2 linked regions of the Drosophila melanogaster genome follow. The protein of the gene in region 1 interacts with the protein of each later gene in a pairwise test. Each region holds a gene or a part of one and is shown in the gene's direction. Other genes may lie near its edges. The genes, in order: Cad86C and PGAP1.

Region 1 (4,866 bases):
TAACAGACGCCAAACAAAAAAAAAGAAAATAAAAAGCAAAATAGATGCCTGGAAAAGTGTGTCACCACGTGGGCCCCTTGGCCAAATCTCAAGTTTTTCCAACTGCAGCCGTAGCAAAAGTTGTAAAGAAACCTCCATGCGCACGGAGGTTAATATGAGAAATGGGTTCAACATCTGCTCCGAGTTCTTGTCTTGGGTTTTGGGCCTGGGATTCGGCGGTAAACTCGTTTAGGTTGCCGCCCTCATTGTGTTCGTTTTTTCCTTCATTTTTGGCCCCATGTATAAATATCCTATAAGACAGTCGACAGCAGACAGCGGCACTGGTCTGTTATTGGTATTGGTATTGGTATAGGAAAAATATTTTAATGTACCTACGATAGGCTGCTCCGGCGCTCTGCCGGCTGCATTAGATGCAGGTCACAAGATAAATAGCACAGAACACGATTACACATATTGAACAAGCTGAAAACATGATCGAATTACTGCAATTTCGTGTGTAGCATTTTCCGGGCCGACGCCACCAGGAAAATCCAACTCGAAAAACATTGGTTCTCTAAATGTTTTAATTTGTCGGTGGCTGAGGGGGGCGGAGGGTGCGGTCTTTTGACCAAATTAATTAAACATACACAAGTCATTAATCGAAAACATGTCGGTTTTGAATATTAGCATAGTCACGGTCTCAGTTTCGAGTACTATTAAAAACAATGACCTTTACAATATGTTCCTGTCGGCAAGAAAGCAAATCCAAATTACATATTTCGAAAGATAACAAGATATTGAACGCAGTCAGCATTACATAATTCGGTCGCATCTAGGTAATCTACTTTTAAGACCCTTTCGAAAACTACTTGAAATATTTAAAGTAGGTAATAAGAAATATTACTACCACCACCTGATGATGGCAAGCCCTTTGTAAAGCCGATATTACAAGTAAACAACAAAATATTTTATGCGTTTTGCGATACCTCTAAGAAGCTAAAATATAAAAATAAATATTGCAACCCTTTCGAAATTGTAAATGAAGCATAAATATAGGTAGGTAACTAACACACTAAAAGATTTAAATAATAAATATATTAAATATAATTAAATATATTGTTTGCCTGCTGAAGCGCCAAATTCATTAAGTGCTTTGATTTTCAGCTTGAAAAGGCGACAATAAAATCGTCGAAATAAGCACCGATATATAACATGCAATAATGGCTTCATGTCTCAATGGAAAACAGCGAAAATCGCTAACAAATTACCTATTGTATAAGCCGTGCAAATTTGTGGCCAATAGTTGAATAATTGAATAAAACGCCATTTGCATGTGCGAACGCAACCGAATACAAGAGCTGCAGGATTAATTGCGGACTCGTCCGCTTCCGATAGTTCTCAGGCTTGTTTATTATTGGGAATATATCAAGGTTCATTGGAGTGGAGTGGTTGTGGAGTGGAGTAGTGGAGCAGTGTGGTTGTTGTACCTACCGGCGAGCGAAACGGGTTTGCTGCTCCCACAAAAACAAGAGTGAGTATTGCCATTGCCTTGCTTTCGGTTCCAAAGAGAAGAAAGAGATTGAGAGAGAGAGAGAGAGAGAGAGAGAGAGAAACCGGCTTTCTGCGTCTCGGAAGACTCTCGCTCTGGCTTTCTGCGGAGAATTCTTCGCGTCCAGATAAGCTCCACTAGTCCAGCACTCTTTCCGGACCATTGGCGTCGGCAGTAGCACTTTGTCGTCGGCGCGCTTTACAACACACCCGGATCGGATCGGAATCGAAATCGAAATTGTATCGCCTCGACTATGCCATACTATACTATACTATACTATACCATGTCTAGCTGCGATTAAATCGTGATCGCGATCGCCATCGGAATTGGAATTGCAATTGAAATCGGGACTGGAGGAGACTGAGATTGTTGAGCTGCTGGTCAGGCAGTATAATTGCGGCAATTTAATGTGGACGCTGAACTGCTGACGCTGCTGTACGTAAATACTTTTGATGTTGATGTTTCTGCAATCGGAGACTCTAGCACGGCGAACAAAAGAACGTTTAGCAAATTCGCCAAGTTCCCAAAATAAATGAGCTTCGGTGTTGAGTTACGCAAAGAATGGTTTCCTAGTAGTGACTGACAGGTCTGCCCGATCGGTATCCCCATTAATTTCGTATCTGACCGATCTGATCGACTTTGATCTAATCCGAAGGCAAGGTCGTTCGAGGTTCATTCAAGCGAAGCCCCAAATTGGTTATCTGAGCCGCTTAGAAAACACGGTTCGGTTTCAGTTTCGGTTTTCAATCGATTTCTTTGGGCTTCTTGACTCATCAGAATAAATTTATTAAAGACGTGCTGGACGCGGAAGGATAGTTGGTGGATAAAACGCTCAGAAATGTGCCTTTAAATCAGTGGCCAAAAAGTGATGCAGTCAATTTAAGATACGGTCTATTAATATTCAGTGCGGGTCCGAAAATGTCAATCACTTGATTACAAACGACAAACAAAAGCAGTGAAGTGCTCGAATTCGGGTTGCATAAATCAGGCGACCGCGACCACATGGAAAGTTGAAATTAAAAGTCAGACTGTGAAGATACGACGATTTTTTACCGGAGTTCACAACGCAGCACTTTTTAACCATTCAAAAGGTATAATTGAACTAGTTTGTATGTACATATTTAATCAACCAATGTCTGATGTGCGAGGGAGAAAATTAAATATATAAATCATGTCTCTGCGAGATAAATAACAAATAAAACAAAGTTAAAGTCAAAACCAACTCTCTCCCCTGTATTATTAGGTAATCTAAAAAGTTGTAAAGGGGCTTAACATTTCATAAAAATAATTTATATAAAAATAATTTAGGTATTATTGACGCTGTACGTATGTATTAACATTTATGCATTCTATAAATATTCACGTTCTTTAAGTCCTCTATTAACTATTAATAAAACTTAAATGCCGCCTGTCGATATTTAATCATCATGTCTCTATTTCGAAACATTTAATTACTGATCTTTCGTTAAGTAGCAATCGATTTCAACAGACGCCGTAAATTTGACAATCTATCCAACCTTCCTTCCGAAATCTCAGATATCGTCGGATGATTTTCCAGTAAACACCTACTTTGGAGGTAATTTGTGGGATGATCCCCCATAAATACTGGAAACATCAAACCATATGGTGAATCTAATCAAATCGGTCGCTTGGTCGGTCCATGTTGATGGATTACATAACGATGTACATTCGTCTGCAGCCAACGAGTAAGTCGACTGCTGCTGCAGGAACTAGCCAAGTTGCTTTATATATATATATACAGATACATATCTGTATATATCGAGCCACACGAACATGGCTACCAGCTACCAGCTACCAACGCAAAAGCAAACAGAGACTCAAACTCAAACGCAAACGCAAAGGCAAACTACATACCTGGCCACTTACCTGAACGGCAGCAACAACACCGGAGCGACCTTGCCTGACCCACTTTACTCGGGGCAGTGCCAAAATTGACAGCTTTGCGGCATTTTAAAATTTATGCTGCAGAATTATCCATAATGGCAGTGCTGTGTGCTGTGGGTCTTATGTGCCGTCCCGTGCGTGCCTGAGCATCGAAAACGCACATATGTATGTACGGTATGGTATATTCGTGCCTCGTTTGGCTTTGGGTTCTCGAAAGTTTAACCTTTTCCCGGCCATCGATCTACCGCTTGCTTTCATTTATAAAAAAATCCGACACGCCGCTGAGGGGTGCAGTCGGTTTGGGTCGACGGTCTATGATTTACTTCGTTTATGGTTATTCTTTTTTATGCAACGCGTCCAACCGGGCATATTTATTAATTTGGGGGCAGGCTGTTGGCCTCAACTAAAACGGCAAATTAGACTACTGGAAAGCCATTCGTCGATCGCTGCATCCCGATTAACAGCGCCCGGAGACGCTTAAAGTGAATTACAGCGACCGCACATCGGCATGGGCATCGAAAAATCGCGTTCGTTGCCTGAGTCTTTCGATTGCCGCGAGGCAACGGGACGCACATCCACGTATCTCAACTCGTAATGGCGACTAGTTCTCGCCGGTTGCCCAACGCAGTGTGGCGTCATTAAAGTGTCGTTCAACCGAGGTTTTAAAAACACAATTCGGAGTCTGAAGCCTTTTGGCCCGACCGCATGCAAAATGAAGAACAATAACTGCGCGAAGGCACATAAAGACATTTATTTATGCTCGACGCCCACAATGTCGCCGCTGCAGTCTGGCTTTTTGGCCCGCTCTTCATTTGCCATGCCGCGCAGCTCTTGGCCAAAACACTAGCACTACACTACCCTCTTGGCCAACTCTCAGCGCGTCCCATTTGCCAAAGTGGAAATAAATTTTTGCTTTATTGAGGAGAGCAATTATGGCCTACAACGACGCGGCGATTCCTTACAACGACTGCAAATAGATTTTCTGTTCTTCAAAATAGCCCTAGCCTCCACTCCATTCCCAATTCCAATCTTGTTCTTTAAGCACTGAAAGAAAATAGCGTTTAATTAAACGATTCGAAACACTTCAATTTGGTTCATAAGCGATAGTCCGAAAAGATATATGACCCATAAAGACATTCAACTGATAATTAATGTAAACGAATATCATTGATATAAATTCACGTTAGGTGACCGAAATGGAAAATTGAACGAATAAATGAATAGTAGGTGGCATTAAGATATGAAACTAGTCACTACTTTATTGTCGATTTGCATATGATTTTTGCCGAGTGTCTTAATGCCGTAGGCCCCTGATCCGCCAGCAAGCCATCAGTCACAGTCTTTGTCTGGCCGTCTGCAAGGCTTCCTTCATCCGATGACGGTTGGTAATCCAGACTGAGGAGCAGACTGAGCTGAAGGCTGGCCAATGGCAA
Region 2 (6,982 bases), on another chromosome or scaffold:
CTGATAATTAAAATGATCTATTTGTATTCCTCGAAAAAAGACATGCTTTTCCTATTCCGATCTCGTGTGCATATTTGTTTTCATCGTCATGCTCGATTTGTTTATAAACAACATCATGTGGGCCAAACGTAAATTGCATTTCCCGAAAACCCCATCGGAATGATTACAGGCTATTATTTATTTACTTATTTACAGCATCAATAAACTTTTTTTGGCCCACTACTAAAATGGATAATAAAATGACAGAGAAACTGCACAATTAAAAGGTTGTTTGATGATTATAATAACTTGGAATCTAAGTATTATTTTTAAGTATTATATACAAATCTAAATTTGCTAGTCTAGTTCTTGAAGTAAAACAATGTGTACTTTCTCTGGCAGTAATAATCTGAAAATTTGTTTCGATCTGAGGGACCTAAACTTGTTTCTTTTAGCGGCTTAGAGCTGCGACCCCTTGTCCCACGTAAGGGTTAAGGCTAGGCCCGATCGTCAGCTCAAGTCCGTTATCGATAACTAGTTAGCACATCGCAAGCTCCCCCCGCACTCACACACACACACACTCACGCACATGCACATACGCACAGCAACAAAAACAAAGCGATGGCCATCACATCATCAGTGGTGATCAAATCTATATCTATGCATGTGCACAACCAGCCACTGTCCACCGTCAACCTCCAACCACCCAACGCCCACTGACCGAGGATTCGACGACCTTCCTTACCCACACAGCTGCAGCACTCCTCGTAGTTCTTGCCCAGGCATTTGAGGCACTCCTTGCAGCAGGAGCAGTTCTTCAGCTCGCACTTGCAGCTCTGGGTGAGCATGCACTTGGAGACGATCGAGGCGCAGACGACCTCGTTGCAGGACTCCACGGTGCCGTAGAAGCAGACGATGGCCAATAGCACGATGGTGCCCACTGTGAGCGAGCGCCAAATTTCCATGATCGGCGGTGGCTGTGTGTGCGTGTGCGCGTGTGTGTGTAGGGATTGGAATGCGCTCTTTCCCGCAGTTAAGTGTTTGAGTGTGTGCGCGGGTGCAATTACAACAAAACAACAATTACAGGCACACAAGCACACGCAGATTGGGCATTTGATTTGACTTGACTTGACTCGATTTGCTCGCCTTCTTGCACCACTATTAATTTATATATATATATATATATATTTATATATATATGAATTATCGCTATGCGATTCCGGACGGATCAAAACAACAACAAGCGACACCACAACGAACACTAAACAGCAACAACTAGCGAGCGGATCGAACTGTGCGCTGCGGCACTGACGTTGACGGCGGCAGAGGAGCGACTGCGCGGCGACAATGTCTCTCTCTCGCCTTGTTTTTGTTATTGCTAGGGCACAAACTGTCTTTTCTGCTTCTTACCCACACCTGAAACAACAACAATAGAGCCAGGCTAGACACAAACATGCACACACATGCGCACGCACACGCGAATTAAGCGCACACACACGCTCAGAAAGCAGGCTGGCTCACACGCACACACTAACAGTTACGAGCCAGCTTAGAAATTCGAATGAATGATACTGACGCCGGCGCCGCTGCCTTTTGTTGACAATTCCGGTATCCGAATCAAATAACTTCGTCTGAATCTGGAGGATCGGTTTAGATCAGATCGGCGGATCACAGCGCACGCGTACGCCAACTGAATGATCAACTAGGCAAAGCAACAACACGATTCGGCTCGATACATAGGTGTTTATGTGCAAGTGTGTGGCGATCGAGAGATTGGAGATGAGCGCAACTGCGACAGCAGTGAACGGGTTCTAAAAAATCACGACTCGAAATCACGAGACACTGATCAAGCCAAATTACTCGGTTTTTGCATAATACTTTTTCGCATTGAGCAAAGAACTTTAGTTCATCCATTAATAGCTGTTCTCATGTTTATGTAAGCCAATTTACAAACTATTTTAGTAGCTCGTTAAAATATTCTCTTGTATTTAGGGCTCAGGACTATGAGCAATTCTATGCATTTTGTACGTAGTTTTCGTAAACTATTGTTTCACAGAAATTTTATCCAACAAAATTTTGAAAAGCTAGTGTTATACAATTAAATGTTATTGTACGTAGCTCTGATCATTTTACAGTATATATGTTTATAATTTCAATATCATGTCATGGATAAGCAACTTAAACGATACTTTTATTCATGGGCGGCTTGCACACCATTAACAAGTACATACCCGATAAGCTATCGATAACTCGCGGAACTTTGCATCGCCTGATATCGAATGGATGATAACAAAACAAGACATAAACAGATATGAAAAACTAAAAGCCCAGGATGTTTATGTTCCGGAACTGCGCTGTTCTCCTAGTGATCGGCTCCATCTGCTGCTTCATCTACGGCCTGTTCCGCTTGCACGTCGAGGTGGAGCCCAATGCCTGCCGGATGACATACATGTTCGGCGAGCCCATGTTTGCGGTGAGTACGATTCGCTTCTTGAAAAGATCGGCCCACCAATCGCTGATTATACTTGGTTTGCAGAAAGTGGGAGTTAGGGATGGCGACCAGTATCCAAACTACGCGCTGTATTATTACTACGAGGGACTGCGACAGCCGCTGGATCCGCTTAAGCGCCGGATGACGGGTGCTCCGGTTATCTTCGTGCCCGGCAACGCCGGCTCCTACAAACAGGTGCGTTCTCTAGCCTCTGTCGCCCTCCGTAAGGCAATGTCCAACGATGCGGGCATACATTTGGACTACTACACCATTGACTACGACGAGGAGTTGTCCGCTCTGTACGGTGGCTATCTGCACCGCCAACAAAGCTATCTGAAGCTGTGCATTCGGACCATCCTCTCGATTTACGAGGGTCGCACGGAGCAGCCCTCCATCGTGTTGATTGGCCACTCCATGGGCGGCAAGCTAGCGCAGTCAGTGCTAGTTGATCCGGCCATTGGTCAGCACATCAATACAATTATTAGCATATCTACGCCGCTGGATCAGCCGGTGCTCAATCTGGATACCCAACTGGAGGAGTTCTACGACCAAACGGACGCTGTGCTGAGCAAGCTGCGGACTGCCACAGTGCCCACGATGACCACAAATGTCTGCGACAGCCTGCACCAGCGACCACCAAGTGTGCAGCGCATGGCCAGTCAGGACAGCTCGGCGCGGCTGGACAATGTGTTGCTTATTTCCACGGGTGGCGGCAATAGGGATCTGCTGGTGCGACCTGGACTCACCAGCTCCCGGTTCAACGATCTGCATGCCATGGTAGTTAAATTATTCTGCTTGTCCGGCTGAATTCGCATTTATTTTTATTCCTGTTTTTCAGACATCAGCTATACCCAAAGTTAGTCTGAGCTGTGACCATCTGTCGGCCGTGTGGTGCTTGCAGTTCATGCAGGCCATCAATAGGTTTCTCTTCAGTGTAGCCTATGTACGCGAGGATCGCTCATCGATCGCCTTTGGCACCAACAAGCAGCGCAACTTGCAGACGGCATTGTCTACCTTTGTGGTAAGTTGCATTGTATTCTAAGCACTAGTAAATACAAATGATATACTTACAGAAGCCTCGAAGGCGTCAGCAGAATACTGTGCGATTCGGAGCTGCTGGAAATTGGCACGAGGAGCGGCGTCTGGTGATAAATAAGTACTTCACGAACGGCCTCAAGGGCACCTTCTTCGATTTGATTGGCTTGCAGCGACAGGAGCGTTATAGAAAGGCGGCCATCGAGGCCTTGAATGTGGATGACGAGGACTGGTTGTTCGGATGCTCCGCAGAGGACAACAATAAGACGGGACAGCTTTATTGGTAAGTGAACAGAGTAGTCTGTTGAGATAGTTTGTATAATTAATTGTTGCACAGCGAAAAGGCTACCTCCCTGATGCACCTCGTCCAGTGGCTGCCCAACGAAGATCGCGAGCCACGCAGCATTGCTCTTCTCGATCTGCACAACCTGCGCAAGACCTATGTTCACTGGACCCATTTGCTCGTTCGCCTACCGCCGAGCGCCAAGCGAATCGGCTACAACCTGGACATCTACGATCCTAAAGAGCGGGTGACGGACATCAAGATGCCGCGCTGGTACACAATGGCCAAACTGCCATTGATAAACGAGACTCTTCAGGGCACGCTGCACCATCGAGTGCGCATCTCCGAGATGGTGGATCCATACCAGAGCATTCGGGTGATTGTGGAGCCGCTGCAGTGCATTAATCCCGAGTATAGGGTAACTGCGAGAATATGCGTTCCCTGGGCAGCGGGCTTCGAACGTTTCCAAACACTCAAGTCAGTTTGATATACGATTTTACGCCTTGTGGTATTAAATTCGTATGATTTATCTTTTCAGATCGTTTGATCAGAAGCCCCAATTGTATGTAAATGTGCCTACACTAGTGCCCAGACATTATAACACCACGCTCAATCCTGTGACACTGGAGCTATATCTAGATCCAACCTGCCGCTATCGAATCAGGTAACTTTCATCTCACACTTAGTTCAGTAGTGTAAACCCATCTCACTCTGATTTATGTGCTCTTCCAGCTATGAGTACTCCTATTCATCGGCACTATCTCGGCTTGTTCTGGAATTCTACGGCTGGTTGCCGGCGCACCTGGTCTGCGTGTTGCTGATTGTGCTGAGAAAACAAGTTGAGACCTTTTACGACGTGGGCACATTTCGTAGCCTGCGTCCTTATGTGGGTTACCTGCAGTATACATCGCTCTATATTGTCACAGGTTTGTTTGCACCACTGTATTTAGCATACTCATATTAATCCATATTTAATGCATTTTCAGCATGTCGCCTCCTAAAGAAGCTCATCATCAGCAGCCGTGTGTTTCCGGAGCCAGAGCCATTGGACTACAGCATCAATGTGTCCATTGTTATCCACTGTGCGGCCATTGCCTTGTCCCTGCTGGCCACGCTGGGCACTTGGTTGGCCCTGACGCTCTATGGCAACGCCTTCTACCGCCTAGCCCTGCGTATAACGCGCCTTTCCCAGGCAACCTCCAATGTGATGATCTCGATCATGACCCACTTGCCCATTACGTACGGTATACTAACTATTGCCACGGCCATGGGCACTTGCAGCGGAGTGGGTCTTCTCCTGGCCTTTGTCTTCTACTTTCTGATGCTCTCGAATGCTTACAAGGATTATCTGGAGGATTTCCTATGGCAGAAGGCGGCTAATTTGGTGCGTGGAAAGCCCTCTGCAGTGACGGAACAGGAAGATGCAACGGAGGAGCAGAATGAAGAACAGAATGCGCTGAAGCAGAACGATGAACAGAAGCAGCAGCAGCAGGAGGAGGAAGAGCCGGAGGCTTGTGTTGGCCTGCAGAATTTCTCCTTTCATGTCACACTGCTGCTGATGCTATTCGTGCAACTGCTGCTCAATGCTCCAAGCAGTTTGGCTTGGTTGCGCAGTCGCCGGTAATTATTTTCTAACCTTTCGAAGATAATCTTGAGCTGAATTTCCGCTCTGTTTTTTTTTTCTTCAGGCATGGCATTAACCTGCCGGATCCGAGCTTGTATCCCAGCATCGTAGTTTTGGCCTCACTGAGTTTGCTTCTCCAGCTGCGAGCTCCACAGAAATGGTAATTGAAAAATTTTCATTACTATATTATATTATCTTTAAAATGCTAAATGCTTTGCAGTCAGGGATACTGGATGCTATCGATTGCATTCTACATTCTGGCCGGCGTGGTTTTACTGTACTGCCAGGCGGCCATCTACAGGCTGACCTATGTGATTGCCGGGGCCTTCGCCCTGCTGTCTGCCCACCAAAGTCTCTGGATCCTATGGGGTCGTGTGTCACGAGTCTAGTTTCAGTTATGGTTCTCCATGTGTTAATTTGTTATTTATTGCTGCGTTAGTTAATGCACTTCGATTAGAGAGAGAGTGTCGCTTATGTAAACCAAGCAAATAGCGAGGCAAATAAGCCCAGATCTGGATCTCCACCAGCGGGAAGTCCAAACTGAGCTCGGCTGGGCGTTGATCTCGATTTGCCCCGATCGCACGTTATATGTATTAATTGTTTTTACGCCTGCTGTCTGCTGCATTCGATTGGCGATTGGCTCGCCATCTCGGGTGGCTGGCACGTAGTTCTCCATTTGAGGGAAATGTGTGAAAATTTTAATGCCCATTAGCAGCAGCGACACTCGCCAGCCATTTTGTGGTTTTTTTTGTTTTAGCCAAAGACCTTAGATCTTAGTACTTTAGTCCCTCCGAAATTATTTACTTAATATTCTATTGATTTTTGCTTAGTTAAATCCTTTGTAAGCGAAGACAATATAAATTTGTATTAATCACTCTGTTTCTTTCGTCTTACAAATGGATCAACGACCTAATGTAGCTGCCATATGACACAAACCGACTTTCATCCCAAACTAACTTTTGTATAAATGTTGTAAATGTTTTCCAAGTGTTATTCTTATTTTATTATTTAGTGAGTCCCTTGTTTCACCATTAAAATACAATTTTATACCAATTTTATAACTACCAAAAACGAGCAATTGCCAATTTGCTGACCAGTTTAGCTGGGCGTTGAAGTGCGGATTCATCGATCGACCCAACTGGATGCCGATTGAATGTGGATCTGGTTGCGTTCGATCAACACCATCAATTTAATGTCTTATTTGCGCATCGTGGATATCTGGATCAGTCGGTGCATCATGTTCACAACCCCACACCAGCACCACGCAAACTGGGTGAGCCATTCCATTGCAGTGGCAAGTCAACAGTGCCCACGGGAGTCGTTCGGAGCGGGCTTTTTGTTCACTGACCAAACACGATGTCCCGATAAGGATGTGGACACCAGCTCATATGTACATATATTCCATATATTCATGCCGACATCTGTCATCCAACGTGTGACGAAAGTGGTCAATATTCGTGCCACTTGTGATATAACCAAATGGCAGTTCGCCGAGCAATGTACATATGTTAATATCGGCAAAAAGTGGCCATTTCAATAGCGGCTTAAGTAGCTCACTCAGCTCAACCAA

What was found.
Region 2: the proteins of Cad86C (region 1) and PGAP1 interact in a two-hybrid assay, tested with the Drosophila melanogaster proteins (one large-scale study listed by BioGRID).

Annotation. Positions count from the first base shown.
Region 1 is NT_033777.3:10,825,378-10,830,243, forward strand, and holds the start of Cad86C (cadherin 86C), read left to right. Parts: upstream 1-1,701; 5' UTR 1,702-1,963; exon of another isoform or gene 1,964-2,619; intron 2,620-4,866. UniProt on the Drosophila melanogaster protein: Cadherins are calcium-dependent cell adhesion proteins. They preferentially interact with themselves in a homophilic manner in connecting cells.
Region 2 is NC_004354.4:5,684,731-5,691,712, reverse strand, and holds PGAP1 (Post-GPI attachment to proteins 1), read left to right. Parts: upstream 1-2,239; 5' UTR 2,240-2,311; coding exon 2,312-2,452; intron 2,453-2,515; coding exon 2,516-3,247; intron 3,248-3,308; coding exon 3,309-3,491; intron 3,492-3,543; coding exon 3,544-3,788; intron 3,789-3,842; coding exon 3,843-4,265; intron 4,266-4,326; coding exon 4,327-4,452; intron 4,453-4,520; coding exon 4,521-4,714; intron 4,715-4,774; coding exon 4,775-5,408; intron 5,409-5,476; coding exon 5,477-5,572; intron 5,573-5,632; coding exon 5,633-5,801; 3' UTR 5,802-6,460; downstream 6,461-6,982. Other genes in the region: cv (crossveinless), read right to left, coding at 725-944. UniProt on the Drosophila melanogaster protein: Involved in inositol deacylation of GPI-anchored proteins.